7 linked regions of the Macaca fascicularis genome follow. The protein of the gene in region 1 interacts with the protein of each later gene in a pairwise test. Links are inferred from orthologs where the notes say so. Each region holds a gene or a part of one and is shown in the gene's direction. Other genes may lie near its edges.

Region 1 (3,365 bases):
TTCTGGAAAAATGTCCGATTATTATGTCCATTTTACAGACGAAGAAATTGAGGCCCTTCTAAGTGGTGAAAAGAGATTCAGCCCAGACAACCTGAATCAAAATCTCACACTTTTACCTACTACTCCACAAAACAGAAGTAGAATGCCATTGGATGTCAAATGGATTTTTCCCCATCATTCTGTGACATCTTTATGCCATCCCACTTTCAGGAAGTCAGCTTGCTTCGTGGACAGCTTGGGGACCGCCTCAGTGTGGAGCTGGACACTGCCCCCACCCTTGACCTCAACAGGGTCCTGGATGAGATGCGCTGTCAGTATGAAACGGTGCTTGCCAACAATCGCAGAGAAGCCGAAGAATGGTTCGCTGTTCAGGTCAGCACCCAGATCGAAAAAATGGCAAGGTTACAGACTTCCGCCTTTTGTGAATTCTCTAATGGTGCCTGTGTTTCAGACAGAAGAGCTGAATCAGCAGCAACTGTCCAGTGCGGAGCAGCTGCAGGGCTGCCAGACGGAGATCTTGGAACTGAAACGCACAGCCAATGCTCTGGAAATTGAGCTCCAAGCACAGCAAAGCCTGGTGCGTGAGGCAAAGGCAGTGTCCGTTATGTCACTGATAAGTCAGGCTCTGAGATGTTAAGCCCTCTTCCATATCCAGGGATCACATTTCCTTGCCTTTCCCAAGTACTGCCGTTTACCCAGTATTAATAGAAGCAGAAGTGACAGGTCCACAGCTTGTGTTGTCCCTCTAAGATGCCTTACCTTCACTCCTGGGCTTGAGTCTGATGCTGCAGCAGCCTCCAGAGACAGGGAGGGAGAAGCAGAGCGAGAGAAACCTCCAGGCCATGGTCACTTAAGCATTCCAGCAGGTTTTAATTCTCATTTGATTCAGGCCAGTTTTCCAGGCTCACTGTTATATCTAAAACAAAGAATCATTTTCAAACATTTCATCCTACAGTTTCCCTACAGGATCTACACTTCAACCTGATCCTTCACTGTACCCCACCCCACTCAAGCAACAAGAACACCATGCGTCCAAGATGACATGAACCAGTTCTGGTCAAGCACCACTGTGTGCATGTCATTAGATCCTGCGGAGAATACCTAGGAGAACAATAGCTGAGCATTCATCCAGTGAGAGGCACTATGCTCATTTAAGCCTCACAGTAACTTCACGGGATAGATACCTTTATCCCATGACACAGATAAGGAAAACTGAGACTCAGATTAAGTAACCTGCAAAGGATGCAATTCTAAGAGGCAAACTTGGAAGCTGAGTTCAGCCAGTTGAATCCCAGAGCCTCTTCTCTCTCTCTTTTTAAATTTATTTTTATTGATATACAATATTTGTAAATATTTATGGAGTAGATGTGCTATTTTGTAACATGCATAGAATGTGTAACGATCAAGTCAGGATATTTACAGCATCCATCACCTCAAGTATTTATCATTTCTAGGTGTTGGGAGCATTTCAAGCCCACTCTTCTAGCTATTTTGAAATGCACAGTGTATTGTTGTTAACTGTAGTCACCCTTCTCTGCTGTCCAACATGAAAACGTATTCCTTCTGTCTAGCTGTATGTTTGCACCCATTAACCAACCTCTCTTCATCCCCTTACCACACACATGCCCTTCCCAGCCTCTGGTATCCAGAGCCTCTTCTCCTAACAGCACTATACTACCCCTCCCTGCCAAGAGCCCAAACTCAATCTTTCCTCTCATATGCTGTTGATAGTCCTTAAGCTTCACAAATAAGTCATGTATTGCTGTAGTCATAGTGGTGGTAGTGATAGCTGACATGTAGAACAGTGGCAGTACGGCTGGCACTGTTCTAAATGCTTTACACATATTAATTCTTAATCTTCACAACCCTCTAATGAGACAAATACTTTGCATATAGAGAATAAAACTGAGACTCACAGAAGCTAAATAATTTGCCAGTGGTCACATAGCTAGAAAAGGGTAAGCAAGGATTTGAAAGTAGGCACTCTGGCCCAAGAGACTGCACTTCATGGTCCTTTGGACAATGTTTCCTCCTGCAGACAGAATCTCTGGAATGCACCGTGGCAGAAACCGAGGCCCAGTACAGCTCCCAGCTGGCCCAGATTCAGTGCCTGATCGATAACGTGGAGAACCAGCTGGCCGAGATCCGCTGCGACCTGGAGCGACAGAACCAGGAGTACCAGGTGCTCCTGGACGTGAAGGCCCGGCTGGAGGGCGAGATCAACACGTATCGGGGCCTGCTGGACAGTGAGGACAGCAGGCAAGTTCCACAGTTACTCATGATATCCCCCAGAGTCACAAAGAGGCTGATGTAAAAGAATCCTGTTTCCCCAAGGTCTGGACAAGTTCAAACCTCCCCAATGTGCTCAGGGATCTTCTTAAAAGAGGGCTGAACAGTGGCTGAGGTTAAGCACATGACACTAGAGATATTTTAAAAATATTATAAAGGCAGATTAATTATTAGTGTAACATTTCATACTGGCATCTCCCTTTGTTCCTGTTTTCCACTAAAGGAAAATCAGGAATAGGCCTGAGATAACATTTGCAAAATCAAGAAAAAATATAAAATTCTATTCAACTGCCACTGCTACAGTGAACATGAAGTGGCAATTCTGGGTGCAGAGAAGAAACAGGCTTCAGTCAATGCTATTGTGCAGAGTTTTTTTCAGAACATAATTTGTGGACAAACTTTGACATGGTTTGTCTGAGTTTCCATTTTATCAAGATTCCCTTGCTAAGCTTGGTTTAACATCAATTTTTCCCCAGGCTTTCCTGTAACCCATGTTCGACCACATGCACCTCGAGCAACACTTGTGAGCCATGCTCAGCCTATGTCATCTGCACGGTTGAAAACTGCTGTTTGTGAATGTTAAGGACAGCAGGTAGAGGAATCAAAGCCGGCAGCATCCTAGAAAGGAGATGGGGCTTCAACCAGGGGCATCCAAACAGGAATCACAAATCCAGGGGACGCTCATATCCTGGAATTGCCCTCCAGGTATCCTCAGTCTTTCTGCTTTACTATTTCCTCTCCTTCCGGCTTATTTGTGGTATGCTGGGAGCCCATAAAGCGTTCTTGCTCATCTCCAAATAAAACATGTTTTACTCCTTTCACATGGTAAATATAGCTCTATGGCTGATTAGTGTTGATAGAATATTCATTTTATGGCAAGAGAATCATCTAAACCCATAACCATAGTTTCAACATACAAAAACCCAGGTTGAAAATATTTTTTAACTCCTCAAATACAAACACATTAATGAACCCATGCAAAATGTCATATATCTTAGAAAACAGTTGTGTGTATCTTTCTGAGAAAAAAATTAGGAATAGAATAATAAAATGTATTTTTTGATTATAAAAGTACT
Region 2 (3,500 bases), on another chromosome or scaffold:
CTGGAAGTAAATGACTTCAAGCTGGGTGGGCAAACCAGTGCTGCAGCTGAGTTTTGTTTGCTGGGCACAACTTTTTTTTCAGTTCATTTATTGGGTATTTTAAGAAAAATTTATTCAAGTACCACACACACACACACACACACACACACACACACACACACACAATGCCTTTAGGTGGGTCATGCATTCCAGTTTCACATAGGCCTCACTGCTTTTTATTGCCTTATGTCCAACCCCAGTTTATACATTTGTGTCACCTGTCTAGGCTCCTGTATGCCTTTCAGTATTTAATGATTAATGATTACCAAGTGTACATGCCTTAAATAGAAAGCAGGAGTGACAACAGTTACTATCCATGCAAATGAAAATATTGAATCCTATTTTCCAGTGTTGAAAAAAAAGGCTTACATGAGGCAGGAAGATCAGTATCAGGAGGAAGACTGCAGAAAGGCTGTGGGAGGCTGGGATTTCATAAGTGAGGCTCCTTCGTGGAACAGTTACAAAATAGGTAGAAGCCGGGGAAATTTCACTTGAATGTTGGGAAACTAACTTCCAGGAGCAGTGATGTCAAGTGCTCTCCACCCCCGGTAGTGCAGGGTCAGGAGGGGTTAGCCAGCCCAGCAAGTCTCAGCCTCCTCTTTTCACATTGGTAGGTTGTCTCCAAACACCATGGTGACACCTCACAAGAAGAGCATGCTGGGAAATGGCAACTACGATGTGAATGTCATTATGGCAGCACTTCAGACCAAAGGCTATGAAGCTGTTTGGTGGGACAAGCGCAGGTAATCTGAATCAGGCTTGACTTGATGGAGAACAGCACGGTTGTGGTATAAGCTTTTAGTACTTGGGCTCATGGCATGAGTGGGGAGGTAGCCATTTGTGGTATTACAGCCAGGGAACCTTGGGAAGTGTGCTGCCTCAGATTCTGCCACCATTTCTCCCCTGCAGGGATGTCGGTGTCATTGCCCTCACTAATGTCATGGGCTTCATCATGAATCTGCCCTCCAGCCTATGCTGGGGTCCACTGAAACTGCCCCTCAAAAGGCAGCACTGGATCTGTGTCCGAGAGGTGGGAGGGGCCTACTACAACCTCGACTCCAAACTCAAGATGCCGGAGTGGATTGGAGGCGAGAGCGAGCTCAGGTAATCAGCACCTGTTGTGACTAAGGCGCTAGGCTGCTTCATTTCTTATGTTGGGGACACTGAGCTCATCTCTGGTTATTTGACAAAGGAAATGAAATTCCTGTGCCCTTGGATTCTCTCCCTACCTTAGAATCATAGAATCATAGTGTCTTGGACCTGACCCTAATCTTCGATGACCCACCAGTACTTTTAAGTCCTTTTGGTAGGGAAGATGCACAGCCTGAGATACCAACCTTCTGGTCTGGTGGGGCTGGCATTGTAATGTTCTCTCCATTTAAGACAACTGAGACAGTAGTTGCCAGTTCATAGAAAGGAAGACAGACATTCAGGCCAAGGAGGACTGAATTTCCCTAGGACCAAAGAACATTTATAAAAATCCTTTAGAGGTGGTGGCTCACGCCTGTAATCCCAGCACTTTGGGAGGCCAAGGTGGGTGGATCACCTGAGGTCAGGAGTTCGAGACCAGTCTTGCCAACATGGTGAAACTCCGTCTCTACTAAAAATACAAAAATTAGCCAGGCGTGGTGGCGGGCGCCTATAATCCCAGCTGGTCAGGAGGCTGAGGCAGGAGAATCGCTTGAACCCAGAAGGCAGATATTGCAGTGAGCCAAGATCATGCCATTGCACTGCAGCCCAGGCAACAAGAGCAAAACTCCGTCTCCAGACAAACCAACCAAAAAAAGTCCTTTATAGTACTTTGGGTACTGTTATTCACAGATCCAGCTACTGTTGGCAGTAACTGTAAGGATGAGCAAAAATTTAGGTTGGAATTTTAACTGGAAAGATTGGAGGACAACCAAACGTGGACCCCTCCAAAGCCAGATGACTACAGAAATGTGTTTTGGGCCGCCACGGGTATAGTAAGGTTTCAGGTGACTTTGTGGTCCTGAGACTGGAATTTGCAACTTGACAGTATTTCATTTTTTCTGTCTCTTTTTCCATAGGAAGTTTCTAAAACATCATTTGCGAGGAAAGAACTGTGAACTCCTGCTGGTGGTACCAGAAGAGGTAGAGGCTCATCAGAGTTGGAGGACTGACGTGTAGCAGTTCTCCCCAACCTCCCTCTCGCCTCAGCCCCCTCAGTCCTCTGTGATGTGCTGTGGCCTCTACAGTGGGTCTGCCCTTCCCACTTCCCCAAACATCTCATCGGGTTTTTCCCCTTCAGATCTGACAGTGCAATAGGACAGACGGGTGGACTGTTGTAAGAACTACCCCGTGTTTTGTTCCTGGGCAAGGAAGGTAGGAGCTCTGTGCACTCAAGGCCAGTGGTCACAAACCCTTGTTTTATTTAAGAAAGGAGAAAGTGGAGCGGGGAGGGAATCCTAGCTTATTTTCCCTTTTCTATGAGGACTTGACGTAGGTTCTGCTGAGTTGTCACTGCTGCTCCACACTCACCTAGAGATGCTGTCTCCACTTTCCGTCCTGTCTGGGTCTGAAAACAGTGGGTCTGAAGATAGTGCACACAAAGCCCATGTGACTGGTTTGAAGGACCCAGAGCATAAAGGTCTCTCAGGAAACCATGTCCAGAACCCTAGCAGCGGTACAGTGAGCTGTCTCCAACCCTTATCCCCGGGTTTAAGGGTGGTTTATGGCCACACATGGAGGATTTTTTTTGTTGTTGTTTGAGATTGAGTTTCACTCTTGTTGCCCAGGCTGGAGTGCAATGGCATGATCTCGTCTCACTGCAACCTCCACCACCTGGTTCAAGCAATTTTCCTGCCTCAGCTTTCCGAGTAGCTGGGATTACAGGTGCCTGCCACCACGCCCGGCTAATTTTGTATTTTTAGTAGAGACAGGGTTTCTCCATGTTGGTCAGGCTGGTCTCGAACTCCCGACCTCAGGTGATCTGCCCGCGTTGGCCTCCCAAAGTGCTGGGATTATAGGCATGAGCCACTGCACCCGGCAGAGTTTTATAATGAAAAATTAATTAATATTCCATGCTAATATTCCAGTATGAAGTAAGATACTGAACAGGATGTGGCTAAAGCCAAACTGGGACAGCCACGGGGTGGCTTGGTTTCTTCACTCCAGTGTTGTCCCTACCATTTCGCAACATTGATTTAGGAGGCTCTGGGACAAAAGAGAAGCCAAAGAGCAGTTTTCCCAGTTTACTTACTCTGGCAAAATCAGAAAAAAAAAGTCTGCCTTTGACATCAAATTCCACTAATTTGGGGCAGAGTTGGGTGAGGAAAGTATTGTGAAGATAAGCTGCTTGGAATAGGGACAGCCAGAATTCAGTAGACGCTCTAGGCTCAGAGGCTGCCACTATAGTGCCAAGCTCCCGCTGGGTGGTTCTGTACTGTATGGATGGAATAGGACCTGGGTTGGTCATCTTTATGTCGTTTCCTTTATGTATC
Region 3 (4,087 bases), about 56 Mb from region 1:
ATCTCTACTAAAAATACAAAAAATTAGCTGGGCGTGGTGGCGGGCGCCTGTAATCCCAGCTACTCGGGAGTCTGAGGTAGGAGAATCGCTTGAACCCGGGAGGCGGAGGTTGCAGTGAGCCGAGATCGCCAGGCTGCACTCCAACCTGGGCAACAAGAGCGAAATTCTGTCTCAAAAACAAACAAATGCCACCAATATACGAATTTGGGCATTACATTTCCAACATGTGAAATTTGAGGGACACATTCAAACCATAGCAGAGGGTCAAATCAGTTAATAAACTGCAACACCAGTACCTGTGCATACTAAGGGCCATATACACGTTAATCATTATCATCATCCTTTCGTTGGAAATCACTGAGGCCAAAGGAGTGGGTGAGACCGCCCAGAAACGAAGAGGGCTGAAGACAGTCTTTCAAGAAGTCAGCATCTCAGGTTCTTGTGCCGGAGAGGTAACAAAGAAACCAGCCGGGGGACTGGGCAGCACAGCTCTGAGGTCACCGAAAGGAGAAGGATGAACTTCTATAATGGCTGATTGTGTTTGGATGCTAAGGAGAGGAGAGGCAGGCATTCCGCTGAGAGAGGGAGGGATGCGTGGGGCAAGGCGGGGACGGGGAGCTGGTGTAGGCGGGAGGAGGGCAGACGGGTACTCTGGTCTATCCCCGCTTCCAGGACGCATCTTCTGGGAGGGGGGCGCGGAGCATGGATGGCGAGTATGGGGAACTCAGAGAGGGACAGTGTCTTGTCACAGGAAGGGAGGGTCAGGAGGGAAATTTGAAAGGAAACGTCTCTGGGAACCCAGGGCTCCGCACTGCCAGGCCCTGGCTCCTTCGGACAAAACCACTGAGCAAGAAAGAAAAGCCAGACCCCTTGGCAGGATGGACAGGGTCCCTGCCCACTGCGGGGTCTGAGGCCTGAGCCAGGAGGCCTAGATCCCAGGACCTCCGCCTCCACCCCAGGGATCAGAGCAGCCTCAACCCTGTGCGCGCTCCAGGGAGGGGACCCGGCGTGCGATGCGCGGGGGCTGGGCGGGCAAGGGCGGTGGCCCGGGCGGGACGCATAATACAAAGCCCGGAGCCACGAGGCTGGCGGCCTGGAGGGGGCCGGAGAGATGAATGGGGACGGCCGGGCCAATCCGAGCGCAGCATTTACAGCCGCGACAGAGAAAGCCAATCGGATCCCTGGGGCGGGGACGGGGGCGGGGACAGAACCAATCAGCTGTGAGGACGGGGCCTGGGGCGGAGCCGCGCAGAGTTTCAAACCGGCTGTGGTGGGCGAGGAGCAGCTGTGCTGGGCGTGTGATCCGCGTTGGTGCTGTCGGGTGAGTGCGGGCGGGGCACAACAAATTTCGTTCTTGTTCCCCAGGCTGGGTGCAATGGCGCGATCTCGGCTCAAAACAATTTTTTTTGTTCAGAGGGGAGGGCATCGGGTTCGGACACGCACGGCCTGTGGAGGCGTCTGGGTACTACAAGCGTCGGATCAAAATCGGGGCGTCTGGTGGGAAGGCCGGGATCTGCGTGGGGGCGCGTTTGGTCTGGGCGAGCTGGTGAAGGAGATGGTGATCGTGTCCTGGGCCCAGCGCTGAAGCTCGGCTACGGCGTGTCTTGACCCCGCCTCCCCTCCTCGCCTGAGCCAGAGAGAGGAAGGAGGTTGGGATGAAAAGACAGCTGTTTTGGAAACTTGAAGTGCGGGACAGCAGAAATGCTGCTGACCCGAGACCTCTCTTCCAGGAAGCATCCTCCTTCCCGCACCCACACTTGCCAACTCGCCCGCTCCCCGCTCGCCCTCGCCACCCCGCTGCATCCCATCTCTTCCCCTGTGTCCAGGGTCTCTGTGGGGCCTGGAAATGGGGATGGGGAATGCCTTGCTGACCTGCTTTTTTGCCCTCCTCCCCAGGGTCTAGTGGACAGAGAAGACTCTTGGCCAGACAAATGGCTTCTCGGTGGCAGAGCATGGGGACCTCTGTGCGCCGGAGATCTCTCCGGCACCAGGAGCAGCTGGAGGACAGCAAGGAGCTGCAGCCTGTGGCCAGCCATCAGGAGACCTCTGCAGGGGCCCTGGGGTCTCTGTGCAGGCAGTTCCAAAGGAGGCTGCCCCTGAGAGCCGTCAACCTCAACCTCTGCACAGGCCCCTCCTGGAAACGCCTGGAAACCCCAGAGCCAGGTCAGCAGGGCCTCCAGGCTGCAGCTCGCTCAGCTAAGAGCGCTTTGGGTGCCATGTCCCAGGTAATACTGACAATACTAATCATCTTTTTAATGGAGTGTTTCCTTGGTGCCAGACAGTTCCTGCCCTCAAAGAGCCTCAAGAATATAGACTCCAAGAAGACAGGGATTTTGGTTAGTTCACTGCTGTTTCCCCCGCACCCCAAATAGTTCCTGGCACATATAGGCGCTCAACAAATAGTTGAATGAGTTAGTGAAAACATGTCTTGGAGGAAACAGATGCTCACAATACCAGGTGATAAGAGCTGTACGTGATAGGAAATTGCAAGCAAGTGGCCAATAGCGAGGGCTCGCCAAACACAAACTTAGCCGGTGAAGGCTTCCCAGAGGAGATGATTCCAGAGTTCACCCAGGGAAGCAAAGGTCAAGGGGTATTTAGGGTAGGAGAAATAGTGCAAGTCCAGAGCCCCTCAGGTCCAAGCCTAGAGCTGAGGGAAAGCAAGGTGTACTGCCAACTCAGCCGTGTACCCCTGAGGAGAGCCAGAATTGTAGTCTGGGTATGAGCAGAGGACAGAGAGCAAGGTAGAGCCGGGAGAAAGGACATGAAGGAGCTTAGACTCTCCCAGGAATGATCAGGAGTCTGGAGGATTCTAAACAGTGGAAAGTCTGGTCTCATTAGCATATTAGAATTTGTCCTTTATCTACGTGATGGAGAACGGAATAGAAGCAGAGGTGCTCCTGAAGGAGACTAAGGATCTGGACTTGCAGAGGATAAACTTCAGGAGCTGCTGAGAAGGTCAGTTAGAGGGGATTTGCTGTCAAATGAGAGGTGCTGGCAGGAAGATGTCCTTATATTGGATGTAAGCGTCTATGGGCCCTTCAACCGATGCATCTTTAAACCCAGAGCTGGAGGTGTAGACGTGTCACTTAGAAAGGACAGAAGCCATTAGGATGAACAGACCTCCAGAGAGAGGACTGGGGGCTGCAGAGGTTTCTCCTCGGTGTCTCATTGGGAATTCTGAAGACGAGAGAATTCTCCAGAAAGAGGGTGGCTCTTTCTGGACCCTCTGCAGAGAGTTCTCTGAGCCAAATGTTAGTCTTTATTTGGAAGAACTTTTTGATTGTTTTCGCCACCCTCAGGGATCAGAGAAATGAAATGAATTTGTCCAAGGTCACGTAACTCATCAGATTTAACCTGGGCTGGGCTCCAACCCCTGGGCTCTGGCTTGCCAAGGCAAAGACAGTCGAGCTGATGAAGAAGAGCCTTCACAGCCGTCACCCAGCTGGTGTGAAAGGCCCAGGAGTTGGGGCTTGGTCCTATGTGCAACAAGAAGCCATAGAAGGGTTTCGAGCAGTTGAGTGTCACAGTCAGAACTGCCCTTTAGAAGGATCACTATGGACCACTGTAGAGGGTGGATAGAGTGAGTGAGACCCGAGGCAGGAAGACAGGCGCTCTCCTGGTGTGCAGGGGGTGCTGGGCGGGGGAGCCTGCTCTACTCTGGGCCCTCTCCTTCAGTCTTGGGGTCAATCTGTGTCTGGAAAGAGAGTTTGGACTTAGACAAACAGGCTCCAGGCACCAGGGGGATCCTCCTGCTGCTGACTGCTGCTGTCATATCCAGGAGCTCTGAGCTGGGTCCCTGCCATGGACTCATTCTACGAGGAGTCAGTCACATCCTTCACCCTGGATACTAAAACAGCCTGTATTTACAGGACACTTGGTGGGTCTAGGGATCGCTGGTAGGGTCTGGAGACCAGGGTAGTTTACCCTTGGGTTTTTTGTTGTTGCTTGTTTGTTTGCGAGACAGGGTCTCACTCAGTCGTCCAGGCTGGAGTTCAGTGGCACGATCTCGGCTCACTGCAACCTCCACCTCCCGGGTTCAAGTGATTCTCATGCCTCAGTCACCCAAGTAGCTGGAACTACAGGC
Region 4 (4,118 bases), on another chromosome or scaffold:
TCCACAGTCTGGCCAGTCACCTAAGGGGGCCTTGGGGTAAAGAGATGAGTTGATCCAATCAGATTCTTTCTCATGGGAATATGGCTCAAACTCAGAGAGGAGCAGGTAGTTAGTAAAAACAAAACAAAACAAAAAACAAACCTAAAAAAAATGCAGAGAGAATCCATAAGAAAATGATGGGTCACAACCAGCAACACTGTGAAAGCAGAGGTTCTGAATTACAAAAAACATACAAAGAGTAACAATAAAAGACTCATAGGCAAATAGGGAAATGGGGAGGCGTGGGAAAAAGTGAATGTGTTATATTAACGATGTAAGAGTTTAGGCCCTCAGTATTCTGCTGTCAAGGTCCAGGAAGCGGGATCTCTGTCTGGTGAGCCAGGATAAACTGTTTCAGCTCTAAAGCTTGAGACGCTTTTTCCTTTACCGCTACACGTTTCCACCGTACCCTAAATAGAATGGATTTGATTCTTGCAACCAAAAGAACTCATTACGACACCCAGGAAATTTTAGGGAGCTGCTAAAGTGTGCCTTCAGCTTTGTCGCTGTGTGCAACTCACTGGCCACTTCCACTCTCAACTCTTCCAGCTCAAGGGAAGTTTTACATATGCAACACATTGGCCTTAACTTCACCAATGGCTGATTTCCATCCTTTTTTTTCTCTTCTGCAGAAACATAACACTAATTATGCTCCTAGAACAACTACCAAGATAGTCGTTAGGGGGAAAGCGTCACAGGACACGAACGTCTTCCCTGATAGAAACAAGGGCTCCTCCCCGAGGTCTCAGAGGCCACACCTGTAGGTAGGAGCACGCTTTTCGATGGCGGAGCCCGGTCCTTGCCTCGCGGACGCCGGCGCAGGACAGTGGCTCCCAGTTCCCGGGGACATTCCACGGCAACCCACATCCCCGGTCCCCGGCCCCTGGCCCCCGGTCCCCGGTGCCCGCTGGGTCACCTGTAATTGTAGGAGCTGAAACGCTTGCTCTCTCTCAGCATCGCCCGGTACAGATCTAACACTTGTGCGCGACTGGAGGCTGCCATTTTGGAAAGAAAAAAAATTAACGGGTCCTCTTCGCCGAGGTCCCAAGTACGACCCAACCTCGGAACTCCAGCCTGTGCAGAAACCACGCACGAAATAAAATGCAGCGGCTCGACCTTGCCAGCGGGCCGGTCCTAAGCCTAAGCCGGCAGCCCTGCGGACCGCAGACCGCGCCGGGCGTCCCGCGCCGCTTCGGGGGCGGGCGAAGGCAGGGCTCGGGGCAGCTAAAGGGGCGGTGCAAGGAGGGAGATGCCTCCGCCCCGCCCCGCTCCCGCCTCCGCCCCCGCCGGGAGGCTCGGGATCCAGCAGCATCTCCACGCGGCCGGAGGGCGAGAAAATAAGAGGCCCGGCCGCCCGTGCATCCAGCCAAGCTCCTGGGGGACGGATATTGGGGGTCCGGGCATTCGAGGGACGTGCAGTTGCATCACGGAGAGCCTTTGCGAACCGTCTGGGGTTTTGGCGGAGACATTTGTGTTTCGGGGCGCAGCGCCCCTTTGTGCCTTTAGAAGGCCGCGTTGCCCGGGTTACCGAAGGCCGCCGCGTCGACGCCCCGCCCCTAACAGCCCCGCCCACGCTGGCGGCGGCCGCCCTCGCCGCTGCCTGAGAGACCTTGCGGGATTTCAAGGGTGACTTAACTTCGCCCGATCATGGTCGGCAGGGTGGGATTTATTGGCATTCCTTGGGCCGGGGGATGCGACGTCTGGGTGTGGAGGTGATGAGACAGGGGTTCCGTGGCACTCCGGCTCTGCTCAGGGCGACCTGCGTAGGGGCCTCCGGGGCAAGGCCCGCTTTCTGTCAAAATGGCAGCGCCCAGCGTGCACGGGTATCTCTGAAGTTGGGGTTTAAGATTCTTGCCCGTGAGAGCCTACGAGCCTGCCGTGCTTCTGATTTTGAAATACCTGGGTCTGGGTTTCCCGGGCGAGCGGTGGGTGAGTGCCGACCTCGTTGCAGCCTGGGGTAGGACGTGGGCGGTTCGTGTGGTTAGGGGGTTACATTGGCCATGGATTTTTTCCTCTTTCCGGATGTGTTTTTGCTTTTGAGTGAAGAGTCCCCGTGGTTTTGTAGTCTAATAAATGCGTAAAATGCAGCTTGGGCTCTAGACTTCGGAGAATAATTTGAGCCCGTTAGGGCTTTAGGCGTTCTCCAAGAAGCGGAGCAAGTTTTCAACCATGGCTTTCTTAAGAAGACTTCAACTTTTTTGAATCATTTTATTAAAGTGGTGGATAAAGTTGCTTTTTCTGATCTTTGAGCATGGGACTGGACGCTGGAAGCTTCAGCCAGTTCTAGTTACTGTGTTTGCAAAGCACTTTTCTTGTTTTTGGAATCTTGCTTTATGTAATCAACCTTAGGAAGAACCCCACCTTTCCGCACTCGAGCACAGCGAGGAGTACCTTATGCATAAAAACAAAACAACTTTGCATTAAAATCCATCTTTCTCCCAACCGCTTGGTCACGGTTGTGTTCTCATCTGCTTTAGTGTATTTGGTTTTAAAACGATAAACTTGCTGTATATCTAAGCAACTTTATATTTTCAGGAACTTTTTTTTCCCTTTTATTTATTTATTTATTTTTTTGAGATGGAGTCACTCTCCGTCGCCCAGGCTGGAGTGCAGTGGCAGGATCTCGGACTCACTGCAACCTCCGCGTCCCGGGTTCAAGCTATTCTCCTGCCTCAGCCTCCCGAATAGCTGGGATTACAGGCGCGCGCTACCTTGCCGAGCTAATTTTTGTATTTTTAGTAGATACGGGGTTTCACCATGTTGGTCAGGCTGGTCTCGAACTCCTGACCTTGTGATTCGCCTGCCTCAACCTCCCAAAGTGCTGGGATTACAGGTGTGAGCCACCACGCCTAGCCTCTATTTTCAGGAACTTTAAAGGCAGGAAACACTTCTCTGACCTTACCATTCTTTAGTGTACTTGCAACCTGGTGTCCTTGCATCCAGATATTCTTATTAATCCTGATGCAGTGACATTTTTTAAAAGGCACTGAAGAGAAAATACTTTCATTAAGATACCTTTAAGTCTCCTCCCTGACTTCTTGACAATCTCATGTCTGTGATTTTGTTTTTGTTTTTTTGTTTTTTTTTCAACAGGATAGCAAAACTTCTGTTACTTCCTGGTTGGTCAGGTCGTTGAGCAAATCTACCCTCGGGTTTATTGAAAAGTTTTGAGTTTTCCCTTTGGTATTTCTTAAAGGATCCAAGACCAAGGCAATTGCACATTGTTACAGAGTAAGATTCAGAGCTGATTTCTCTTGATACACTGTTGTGTGCTGGTGATATGAAATGATATGCGGCACCTTAAAGCTGCAACATTAATGCAAGTTGCTGATAGAGAATGCTATCAGAGTGAAAAGGAAAAACTTGAAGATTATTTTGGCTTGTTTAAAAATAGCAAGGATTATGTTATTTATATTTTGCTTTTGAGAGTAAAGTTGGAATAACTATATACAATTGTTTCTACCTAATTATCAAGGAATTTAATCATTAATGTATATGGTATATCTAAATGACTCAACTTTGTTGTAATCAAATAAAACTTTTCCAAATAAATATGTATAGTTTAAATAGTTTGGGTAGCTTAGTCCTCCATTAGTACGAGCAATGGTTGCAGTTAGGAAAGTGATAGCTTCCCGGTTAATTCTGAGCCAAATCTTCACAAAAATACCTCATTATTTTATTTAAAATGGTTTACCAATGTGTTGGACATCATTGCCTGGAGAAACTAAAAGAAAATAATCATTCTGAAGCTACATCTCACTTTTGCACATCTTCACTGCAGAGATTACATAAAACAAAACAAAACAAAAAAAAAACTCTATTTGAGATTGTAAGTAGAATTGGGCCAGAAGCTGAAGAATGGACCTTACACATATGTCCTTTAATATGCATTCTATTCTGGGTTGAAATTTTTCTTAGCGAATATCTGTAAAGTAGGAGGTACCATTTAGGCATCAAAACATAAAAATTTCTTTAGTATTCGTTTATCGAAAGTTACCGACTACCTGTAGTTCTTTATGTAAGATCATTTATTACCTTCTATTAAAATTAGGGTTGTCAATGACCACTTAATGCTTTGT
Region 5 (2,753 bases), on another chromosome or scaffold:
AGACTAATTAAATTGTACAATTTACGAAGAAATCAAATAAAATTTTAGTAAGTACCCTTGTTGATGTATTCATTTCTTCTAAGATTGCATATGTAAATTGTCTCTCTTGTCTTTACCTCCTTAGAAACTTACACATGTCCAAAAATGATTGAGATAGAGCAGGCGGAGGCCCAGCTTGCTGAGTTAGACCTGCTAGCCAGTATGTTCCCTGGTGAGAATGAGCTCATAGTAAATGACCAACTGGCTGTAGCAGAACTGAAAGATTGTATTGAAAAGAAGACAATGGAGGGGCGATCTTCAAAAGTTTACTTTACTATCAATATGAACCTGGATGTATCTGAGGAAGCAATGGTAATTCAGTTTTGCTTTTGGAAGGATTGAAACATGTTGAGACTTAAAACATTGGTTAGTGCACTTTTTCTTCTTCTCTTTAATCAGGCGATGTTTTCTCTGGCCTGTATTCTTCCTTTTAAATACCCAGCAGTTCTGCCTGAAATTACTGTCAGGTACGTTACAGAAGTTCTGGCCAACTTTAGAGGTCAAATTAATCTGAGAATAAAAGCAACTCTTGAATTTGTTTTCTGTTCCCAGACAATTGTTTTCTTATATCTTTTCTGTTAGATCAGTAATATTGAGTAGATCCCAGCAGACTCAGCTGAACACAGATCTGACTGCATTCCTGCAAAAACATTGTCATGGAGATGTTTGTATACTGAATGCCACGGAGTGGGTTAGAGAACACGCGTCTGGCTATGTCAGCAGAGATACTTCATCTTCACCCCCCACAGGAAGCACAGTCCAGTCAGTTGACCTCATCTTCACAAGACTCTGGATCTACAGCCATCATATCTACAACAAATGCAAAAGAAAGAATATTCTAGAGTGGGCAAAGGAGCTTTCCCTGTCTGGGTTTAGCATGCCTGGAAAACCTGGTGTTGTTTGTGTGGAAGGCCCACAAAGTGCCTGTGAAGAATTCTGGTCAAGGTTTGCTTTCACATATGTATGTGAAGTCATGTCAAAAATTTTAATAGTAAACAAGATACAGTCATGTGCTGCCTAGTAATGTTTTGCTCAACAGTGGACCACACATAAAACAGTGGTGCCATAGGATTATAATGGAGCACATATAGAAACCTGATACATGGCACTTGATCTTCCCACTATTGAATATCAGAGTGATATTCAGTAATCGTGCTGGGACATTTGCTTTTCTATATGAAAAAATATAAATACAAAAAAAGTACCATCTAGGTTTGTGTAAGTACACTCTATCGTGGTGGTACAATGACAAAATAACCTGAAGATACATTTCTCAGAATGTATCCCCATTGTTGAGCAACACATGACTATTAGAGATTTGGAGATAAGTATGTCCCGGGGGTTGTATCTTTATGGGGATTCAATCTCAAGTTGATAGATACGGCAGAAATCGCATGTAGTCAGCATTTTCCCCCTCACCTGACAAGTACATATAGGAGACATTCTGTAAATATACGCTGAATGAATTGAGCTCCTGCCCAAGACACGATGACCCCATCCACTTCCATGGATCTGATCCTTCCCTTATCTTAGTGATGCTGCAAACTGTATACCCTATGAAGTAAGGGGCTTTCTAGAAGCACTAGAGTTGCCACTAGTCTTCTCATTTCTCTACTGATATCCTAAATGAATTTCTGAGAAGATCCATTAATAGTTTGGGATTCAGTAATTCCTACATTTCTAAACTACTGATACAAGGCCGTAGTAAGGGCAACAAATGAGTTTGGGGATGGGATTATGACCAGAATCATATTTGATTAAAATAAATCCCTCTGAGATAAAAGTAGGTTTCTTGGGTGGGGTGTGATGACTCACACCTGTAATCCCAGCACTGTGGGTGGCTGAGGCAGCATATCAATTGCAGCCAGGAGTTTGAAACCAACATGAGCAACATAGCAAGACCTGTCTCTACTAAATAAACAAAAGTTATAAAAATTTTAAAAAGTAGACTACTTCTAGGAAAAGGCATTGATAAGTCTGTTTTATAACTTCTGTTTTATGTGCTCTATACATTTTGAAAATGTTTACTTTGGAAATTTCTTTTCAGACTCAGAAAATTAAACTGGAAGAGAATTTTAATCCGCCATCGAGAAGACATTCCTTTTGATGGTACAAATGATGAAATGGAAAGACAAAGGAAATTTTCCATTTTTGAAGAAAAAGTGTTCAGTGTTAATGGAGCCAGGGGAAACCACATGGACTTTGGTCAGCTCTATCAGTTCTTAAATGCCAAAGGATGTGGGGATGTTTTCCAGATGTTTTTTGGTGTAGAAGGACAATGACAGTAAGAGTAGTTGAAAGTATCTTGTCACTGTTAGTCTTTTGATTTTTTTTTCCCACTTTTTCTTGAAAGATTAAGTAAGTAATTTTATTTTAGTTCCATTCTAGAACGTTGGGGAGTGGGGGACAAGAAAAAATAGTATAGCTGAAATGCATCTGTTAAAAATGTCATGATTGAAAGCAGAACTGAGTTTTAAATTACAACCTTAAAATTGTTAGATATTTCTTCACATATCAGCTGCCCATTTTGAAAAAGAAATGATCCACAAAGGTGATGTTGGTGCTCCAATTTGCCAGCCATTCCCAACCCCCTTCTCCCTTACCTGCCTTCACTAAAGAACCCAGAAAAGCTAATTGTTTCCCTTTCAGCCTCTGTTGCAACTAACAACTCTCAGTGGCCTCAGGACACAGCTTTGGCCTTGGGAATTCTGGGG
Region 6 (2,994 bases), on another chromosome or scaffold:
AAAGTTCCAGACACCAAAGCAGCCTCCGTGCCACAGGCCTCCTCCGCACTCACGCTACTACCTGTCTCCCCGATCTCCAAGCACCTCTGGGCTCCCTGTGGAATGTTTCAGAGGCTGAAGAGAAAAAGACACGAGTGGGGTTTTCGTGCTTTTCTCCCCCAAAATTAGATACCGACTTAGGAAAGTGGTTCTGACGCCTTCTGCCATGCGCCCTTTCCTGGGAAGGAAACAGCTGGCTACAGAGTCCCTGTCATGGCTCCGTCCAGAAGGGGAGACGGGGCAGGCCCCGCTGTCTTTAGGAACGATGTGAACGCACAGTTGTGGACACAGACGTTTTGCGGGGGCAAGTGCAAGCTTTACCCTTTGCATTTGTTGCGTAATTGTGAGATTTATCTTTCTAAAAAGGCATACACGTATTTTAGCGCGACTTATCTGAGAATCTGAGCTAAGGGTCAGGAATACTTACTTGCATCTTTTTACAAAGCAAGCCAGTGAATAGTGGTTTTGTAAATATCATCCATGTCAGTGGGATTTGAGGCCAACAAGAGAATTCGGCCAGTGTTTCCCAACACACCCACCCATGTAAGATGGTTTTCATGAACACACTTGGAATCCCAGAGTCTGCGGAAATCCCTGCAGTGTTTAATAGGGATGTCCAGCGATGGTGTCCAAAACCCTCGCAGTGCCGAGCTTGGCGACGCAGGTATCGGCCGATGCTCAGAGGAGATGACACAGGGCTTCGGGAAGTGCAGGAATCAGGCAACAATGTCAGAATAACTCAGTGACTCCAGAGACGCAAGGCGCGAATCTGCAGAATGTATTTCCTGATTCGTGAACCCTGCCCCCAACACCTCTGCCCCCTTTGAATTCAGAGTGTGAGGGAGCTTCTAAAATTACATACTGTGCAGAAGGCAAGCCTGTGGCCTGGGAGTCAGGGACCAGGGGAAACGTGGGAAGGGAATGAAGGATGCTGCCACGGGGGTTGTGGTCGGGAAGGGTGTGGGCCAGACCCCAGGGCCACTGAGCTGTTAAGGACCCACCTCCGACCACCTGCCAATGTTGACTTGTGATGCTTTTCAGGAAGAAAGAAAGGTCCCACCTCCAATACCAAAGAAGCCCCCCAAAGGGAAATTTCCCATCACAAGAGAAAAATCCCTGGACCTGCCCGACAGACAACGTCAGGAAGCCCGGAGACGACTCATGGCCGCCAAGCGAGCGGCGTCCTTCCGGCAGAATTCTGCCACCGAGCGCGCGGACAGCATCGAGATCTACATCCCCGAGGCCCAGACCCGGCTCTGAGGATGGAGGCCGGCCACCTTCCCCTTGGTTGTTCCTGCTTTTTCACAAAACGCTTGTACAGTTTGTTGCCTCCCTGGTGGTTTCTGTCATTTCTTCCACTGAACACGCCCTTGCTCTCATGCTCCTTGTACCGTGAACACAGTGGAATGCGGTCAGTGGCCTCAGAGTCCACGGAGCTCGTGGCGAGGACGACTTTTGTTTTTTTTTTAACTGGTGGCCTGGCTCACACTCGGCTCTGAGGGACAGGCGTGGTGAGACCTGACTTCTCCTCCGTGTTCTCAGAGGACGGCGAGAAATGCCTCTGGAGCTGGAACCCAGCTTACATTTTGTTATTTCTATTTTTATAAATTGTGTGATAATTAGAGGTAAGAATAACAAATAACTATAAATGGGTGCATCTCACCACCCCCTAGAGGCATTAGACACCCAAGTGGAAGGTGCTACAACCTGAAGTGCAGGAAGAAAGGCCCATTCCCCTCGCACACCCGAGCTTTTGCTCCCTGAGCACAGGCAGCCCATCCACCCGCTCCGCTCTCCTGCTCCTGTTTGTCACAGGTAGAAAACATTAGGCTCCTTGTGTCCAGCTTACTGTGAGGGAAGGTTCTCTCTCCAGCCACCAAACTCCCCACCATACAGTTCTCCAGCATCCCAGGGGATGACAAATCTGAACCCACTAAAATACCCAGCACAGCATCTACACATTGAAAAGATAAGCCGAGTGTTCCCACGAGGAAGTCACAGGCAGAGAGAGGAGAGTCTTACGGAGGGCTGGGAGCATAAAGGGGAAACAATGTCCTTACTTCTATGAAATAGTTATTGTATTTTTTATTTCTTTGTAACTTAAAATACGACACCCAGTATTTTCTTTAAGTTTCACCATTTACGCTACATGTGATTTTTTTTAATGTATGTATATATATATTCTCAAATTGTTCTATCAGCTGACTTTCCAGGGTATCCTTAAAAAAAAAACCACGAAAAAAAAAAAACACAAAAAGTTTGCTTGTTTAAAATGACAATTGTGATGTTGTAAAAAGTTTCAGAAATATGAATGTGAGTGGTAAGTATATCTCAGTTTAAATGGTAAAGAAGAAATGTAGTTTACATTTGTATTTTTCCAGAATTATTTTGTCCAATGCAGTATTGCTTAAGTCAAGAATATATTCCTTGCCTGTGTTAGACCTGAAGGGAAAAAGAGGTCACATATTGTGATTTCCAGCTGTGGAATTCAAAAAAAAAAAAAAATTAGTGTTCATGACTCTGTGGTCGGTGCCAGAGGAAAATAGGAACGACTAATAGGCTCTCCGTGTGTATCATTAAATTCAGCTGCCATGACCGTTGTTCCAACACGACTTGTTTCACAGTTCAGACCAGTCTTCGAAGGAAAAGCCTATCAGATTTTCCCACTGGGTTCCAGTTTCAGAGTCCTCGTTATTACTCAGAGTAAAAGCAGGACTGCGATGTAAGATGTTTCCACCCCAGTACCTGGTCTTCCTTCCCGGCTTAAGGAGTACCATGTACTTAGCCACAGGCAGAACCGCTTTCGAGGACGACCCATAGCACTTTGTTTCTTCACCTTGATTTGCACTTTACAGCGTCCCCGGCCCCTCTGCAGCCCGTGGCTGGCAGGGCGTTCGAGGCGCAGCTGTCCGGCAGAGCGCCCTCCAGAGCCGCGGGGTCTCCCTGCCTCATTCG
Region 7 (4,213 bases), on another chromosome or scaffold:
AATCCACCTTTTTCACTGGTCTGGAGTGGGGAGGCAGAGTAGGGGTCGGCTGGAGGAACAGGGCTCTGTGCTGTCTTTTGAGAGTTTACTAAACGTCACTCTGCATGGTAAGGGGTGTGTCCTCTTCGCTGCGGTGTCCTGGCTTGAAGTTCAGATTGTCTCCCTGGGACACCAGACCCTGCGCCGTACTCCCTCCTAAGGACAGCTTTGACTGTCTCCCCTCCAGCAGTCAGTTCTCTCCACCCCCAACGGGAGAAGGAGCAAGGCTGGTGTCTGCAGGAGTCTCCCCTCCAGGCCAAGGCCAGGGGAGAGTGTGCATGTCACTGTCAGGATGTGTCCTGGTGGCGTGGCCGGGTTTTCAGGGTGAAGCGCCTCCGTTTCTGGGATGGCAGCGGAAGCAGGCACTACACACACAGCTTCGGGGGCTCTCCCCATGCCTCCTAGCTGCCTGGCACTTTCTGTTGTTTCTGGCTAACTTTCTGACCATGCCAGGAGTTGGTGGAAGGAGATCTCAGGCCGCAGCGTTGCTTTCCTGCTGAGGAGACAGAGGTAGGCCGGGGCTGTAGGACAGGGGAGGCAGCAGCCCCACCTTCTTTCTAGGGAGACACTGCCTGTCTGTCATTGCCCCTCTCCTGCACCTGGCCCCTGGCTGTCTGCTCTTCCCACCCAATCACCAGCAAGCCAGCTCCTGTTCCCTGCGGCCCGTAGGATGTGTCCTGGGACCCACAGCCCTCTCTCCCCAGAGACAGCACTGCCTTGCAGCTTCGGTTCCTGGCCCTGTGCTAACCCTGGCAGGGTTTTCCTTTCTAGTCTGCTCTGCAGCCAAGACATTGTGGCCACTGCTCTCCTCGGGACCCCCACCTGGCTTTCTCCCAGCACATGCTGTTTTCTGCCCACCTGGCTGGTGTCCTGTGTGCCGGATTCCCTATGCTCTGTCCCCAGCACCCTGACCACATCTGTCCCACCTGCCTAGATCTTGAACCGTGGGCACAGGGCTCCCTCCTGATAGCCCTGAACACTCCGCTCCATGTCCTACAGGGAGGGATGTCCCAGGTAGATGTCAGCTCCCTCCAGTCACTGACCTCCAGCATCTGAGCAGGCAGGGCCGAGACCCATGGTGCTGCTCAAACCAGCAGCCTGGAGCCCCAAGACAGCTCCTTTTCCTCACCTCCCCCAACACTGATGTTGCACCTGTCTCCAAGCCACTGTGGGACCATCTGTTTTTCTCCATCTGGGAAGCCCCCTTCCCACCTCATGCTCTTCCTGGCTGGGGCGTCTGGGTCACTGGACTCTCCTCTCGTTACACCTGTGCGCGCACGCACACACGCACACACGCACACACACACACACACACACACACACACACACAGGAGGGCATCCTGACAGGTGGTGGGGAGGGAGGGCAGCTGCCTCACTGTGGAAAGGGCACGGCCGCTCCCGGACTCCAGCCCTGTTAGGGCTGGGGAGGTCAGCAGGCGCTGGGTTCCAGCCTCAGGTGGGGTCTTCGGAGGTGGCCTTTGGGCACAGGCACCTCCTCTGTGGCCTTCTCACCAGGTCACAGTTCAGGGAGGCTTTGCCGCCTACGGAGCCTGCCCACACCAAGGCGCGCACGGTCACCGGTCCAGAGATGCCATGCGGGCTGGGCGGCGAAGGCCAAGGACACACGCTGCCTGGTGTCGGGGGCAAAGGTTAGGCCTGGAAGGGAGGTGTGGGGTGGGGACCCCGAGGCCAGGGCTGGGCCGCTGAGCTTCAGGGCCCTTGTTGGGGGTCAGGGGGGAATGCCGGAGGACCCCAGCATCAGGAGGAACCCCCTGGAGAGTTATGGCAGGACTCACCTGTGGGGCACAGGAAGAATCACCAGGGAAAGGACCCTTGTGGAGGATCCCCCTCTACCCCCAGGGCACTAGTGGAGGATCTACCAGGGGGGTCTGGTGGAATGGCCCACCGGGGAAGCGGCGCGCGGGGAGGACTCGGGGGCGCCGGGAGGAACTGTCCGGGAAGGGGCGCACGGGCCGCGGGCGGCGCGGGGTCGGTAACGGCCCGCGCGGTGGGCGGCGGCGCCCGAGGCCCCTCCCCGCCGCCCGCGGCCGCTCCTCCTCTTCCTCTCCCGCCCGCGCCGCGGCCCTCCCGTCCCTGCGCGGCCTCGGCGGCCTCGGCGGCGGCGGCGGCGGCGGCGGCAGCAGCGCGGCCCCTTTAAACGCCTGCGGCGCCCCCCGCCCCCGCCATCGCGCCTCCATTTTCCCGGCCGCCCGCGCCGAGCGCCGCGCCCGCCCCGGGCCCCTCCGCCGCCGCCGGCCCGGACATGGCCGCCAACATGTACAGGGTCGGAGGTAAGGCCGCACCGCCTTTATGCCCGGCCCCGACCCGCCCGCAGCCCCCACCCGCCGCCGCTGCCGCCTCCCCCGCCCCTCCGCCCCGCAGGCCCCGCGCCCCCCGTCCGCCCCCGCGGCCCCCGGCTCCTTCCCGAACCTCCCCCCGCAGTGCTCACCCCAACCCAAAATGGCCCCGCGGGTCGGCCCCATCGGGGGCGGGCGGGGCGCGGCGGCCCGGGGGTGGGGGGCGGCCCACCTGTTGGGGCCGAGGGGGCGGCCGCGGGGGTGGCGGAGGGGCGCGGGCGGCCGGGGACATCCGGGGGGCCGGGGCCGGGAGCCCCCCGCGGGAGCACGTGGCCTTGGGAGGCGCCGGCTGCCGGTCTGGGAGCAGGAGTTTTGGGGCTGTGGGGTCTCCCCCGGCCCGCGGCCCTGTGCTAGGACTCCGGTGCGTCCCCTCTGCGGATGGGGAGCCCCGGTGAGGGGCCGCGTTCCTCCCTAGAGCCCTCCTGCAGCCTGGCCCCGGGGCTTCCCCCCGCAGGGCTCTCTCAGGGGGTCTTCAGCAGGGAGCGAGTATCCCGAGCACGCCTCTAAGTCCCCCCAAACTTTTCCCTGCCTCCCGCTCACCTCAGCCCATTCGGGAGGCGCTTTGCTAGGGTTGGGGAGAGACCGGAGGGTCCCCTGGGCAGGGGCCCGGGGCTTCCTCTCTGGGTCAAGCCTCCTGTTGCTCGGGCCCCGCGGGCCTGCAGCTTTGGGCCTTGCCCTCCTTCGAGTGCCTGGGACTCCGTGGGGTCTTTCACAGGGAGATGGGGGGTCGTGCGCATTCCATCATTCCATCAGTGCCTCCCTCCCCGGGACTCTTGAGACCCCTCCCTGCCTGTGACCCTCTCGGCAGGTGCCCATTGCCTCTCCCACCTGCAGCCTGCGCTGCAGGAGGGAGCTGGGGTCTCTCTCGCTCTGGCCTGATCCCCATGCCCGTGACCCCGAGTGCCCAGAACACGCCGTGTCCCTCGAGCGTGGCCTCTGCTGCCTTGGACGCCGTGTGGTCTCGCCGGCCAGCCCTGTGACCTTGGGGACGGTGGGAGCCCCCTACACCCCGTCTGTGAGATGGGCGGTCAGTCTGCATCAGCAGCTCTGGGCCTCCCCTGTCCTCTCACAGAGGCAGTGGGCCTGTGCCCATCCAGCGTCAGCCCCCTCCCACAGCTTCATACAGCTTTGCCAGGTCCCTGTGTGGACACAGGTGGGCTCAGCCCACCCCACGCCTGGGGCAGCCTGGGTGTGGGGTCCCTTGAGGGAGCGACCTGTTTCTTCCTGTTCTTTCTCCCCACCTGGAGATCCCCCTTCCAGCCTGACATGAGGGCCCAGTTTCTCATCCCGGTAGAGAGGATGCCTACTGCCTGGGCTCCAGCCGGGCCCACTGCGCATGGTTTTGGGATTGGTCCCAAGAAGATTTCTCCCTGCCCCCACCCAGGCTGGGGTTGGGGAGTGGTGGCGGCTTTGGGCTCTAGGGCTGGGGACACCCCGACCCCGACTCGTGCCTTCCCAGTGGCTGCATTGCTCGGCCTTCAGGCCCGCCTGCCTGTGAACTTGGCGCCAGCCTGGCTGCCCCCCCACCGTCCCGTGCCTCGGTTTCCCCATGGTGTGGGTGAGGACCTCGTCTCTCAGTCATCCTTCTGTGCCCTGTGGCAGCTGTGCTGTGGCTGACGAAAGCCAGGACCCTGCCTTGTCCCGTCCCGGAGGTGCAGCTCCCCTGGGCCCTGCACAGGCTTGGGAGGAGCCCTGTGTGGGTCTGCACCGCCCTCCCTGAACCCTCTGTCCCTCTGTGCCTGGAGGCCCGTCCCGGGGCCTCACTGACCCACAACACTCCAGTGCTGTGAGGCTGGGTGGCCTGGACCCCCAGGCTG

Evidence for each region.
Region 2: the proteins of KRT40 (region 1) and JOSD1 interact in binary tests that used the Homo sapiens proteins (3 or more experiments, as listed by UniProt). The two-hybrid records come from large-scale screens. The link is inferred for Macaca fascicularis from reciprocal best matches to the Homo sapiens genes KRT40 and JOSD1.
Region 3: the proteins of KRT40 (region 1) and PIMREG interact in binary tests that used the Homo sapiens proteins (3 or more experiments, as listed by UniProt). The two-hybrid records come from large-scale screens. The link is inferred for Macaca fascicularis from reciprocal best matches to the Homo sapiens genes KRT40 and PIMREG.
Region 4: the proteins of KRT40 (region 1) and FARS2 interact in binary tests that used the Homo sapiens proteins (3 or more experiments, as listed by UniProt). The two-hybrid records come from large-scale screens. The link is inferred for Macaca fascicularis from reciprocal best matches to the Homo sapiens genes KRT40 and FARS2.
Region 5: the proteins of KRT40 (region 1) and RWDD2B interact in binary tests that used the Homo sapiens proteins (3 or more experiments, as listed by UniProt). The two-hybrid records come from large-scale screens. The link is inferred for Macaca fascicularis from reciprocal best matches to the Homo sapiens genes KRT40 and RWDD2B.
Region 6: the proteins of KRT40 (region 1) and DLGAP2 interact in a two-hybrid assay, tested with the Homo sapiens proteins (2 studies listed by BioGRID). The link is inferred for Macaca fascicularis from reciprocal best matches to the Homo sapiens genes KRT40 and DLGAP2.
Region 7: the proteins of KRT40 (region 1) and MTA1 interact in binary tests that used the Homo sapiens proteins (3 or more experiments, as listed by UniProt). The two-hybrid records come from large-scale screens. The link is inferred for Macaca fascicularis from reciprocal best matches to the Homo sapiens genes KRT40 and MTA1.

Annotation. Positions count from the first base shown.
Region 1 is NC_088390.1:62,064,418-62,067,782, reverse strand, and holds the end of KRT40 (keratin, type I cytoskeletal 40), read left to right. Parts: intron 1-210; coding exon 211-372; intron 373-451; coding exon 452-577; intron 578-2,038; coding exon 2,039-2,259; intron 2,260-2,765; coding exon 2,766-2,865; downstream 2,866-3,365. UniProt on the Homo sapiens protein: May play a role in late hair differentiation.
Region 2 is NC_088384.1:12,963,923-12,967,422, forward strand, and holds part of JOSD1 (josephin-1), read left to right. Parts: intron 1-653; coding exon 654-782; intron 783-948; coding exon 949-1,143; intron 1,144-2,087; coding exon 2,088-2,187; 3' UTR 2,188-3,500.
Region 3 is NC_088390.1:6,486,092-6,490,178, forward strand, and holds the start of PIMREG (protein PIMREG), read left to right. Parts: upstream 1-1,287; 5' UTR 1,288-1,321; exon of another isoform or gene 1,322-1,462; intron 1,463-1,896; 5' UTR 1,897-1,931; coding exon 1,932-2,225; intron 2,226-4,087. UniProt on the Homo sapiens protein: During mitosis, may play a role in the control of metaphase-to-anaphase transition.
Region 4 is NC_088378.1:167,737,181-167,741,298, reverse strand, and holds the start of FARS2 (phenylalanine--tRNA ligase, mitochondrial), read left to right. Parts: upstream 1-1,318; 5' UTR 1,319-1,689; exon of another isoform or gene 1,690-1,698; intron 1,699-1,828; exon of another isoform or gene 1,829-1,968; intron 1,969-3,132; exon of another isoform or gene 3,133-3,270; intron 3,271-4,118. Other genes in the region: LYRM4 (LYR motif-containing protein 4), read right to left, coding at 956-1,041. UniProt on the Homo sapiens protein: Is responsible for the charging of tRNA(Phe) with phenylalanine in mitochondrial translation.
Region 5 is NC_088377.1:18,027,091-18,029,843, forward strand, and holds part of RWDD2B (RWD domain-containing protein 2B), read left to right. Parts: intron 1-124; 5' UTR 125-144; coding exon 145-351; intron 352-438; coding exon 439-506; intron 507-621; coding exon 622-984; coding exon of another isoform or gene 985-1,000; intron 1,001-2,086; coding exon 2,087-2,321; 3' UTR 2,322-2,753.
Region 6 is NC_088382.1:1,818,539-1,821,532, forward strand, and holds the end of DLGAP2 (disks large-associated protein 2), read left to right. Parts: intron 1-1,080; coding exon 1,081-1,299; 3' UTR 1,300-2,494; downstream 2,495-2,994.
Region 7 is NC_088381.1:173,603,274-173,607,486, forward strand, and holds the start of MTA1 (metastasis-associated protein MTA1), read left to right. Parts: upstream 1-1,413; 5' UTR 1,414-1,627; coding exon 1,628-1,688; intron 1,689-1,835; exon of another isoform or gene 1,836-2,037; intron 2,038-2,098; exon of another isoform or gene 2,099-2,302; coding exon of another isoform or gene 2,303-2,330; intron 2,331-4,213. UniProt on the Homo sapiens protein: Transcriptional coregulator which can act as both a transcriptional corepressor and coactivator. Acts as a component of the histone deacetylase NuRD complex which participates in the remodeling of chromatin.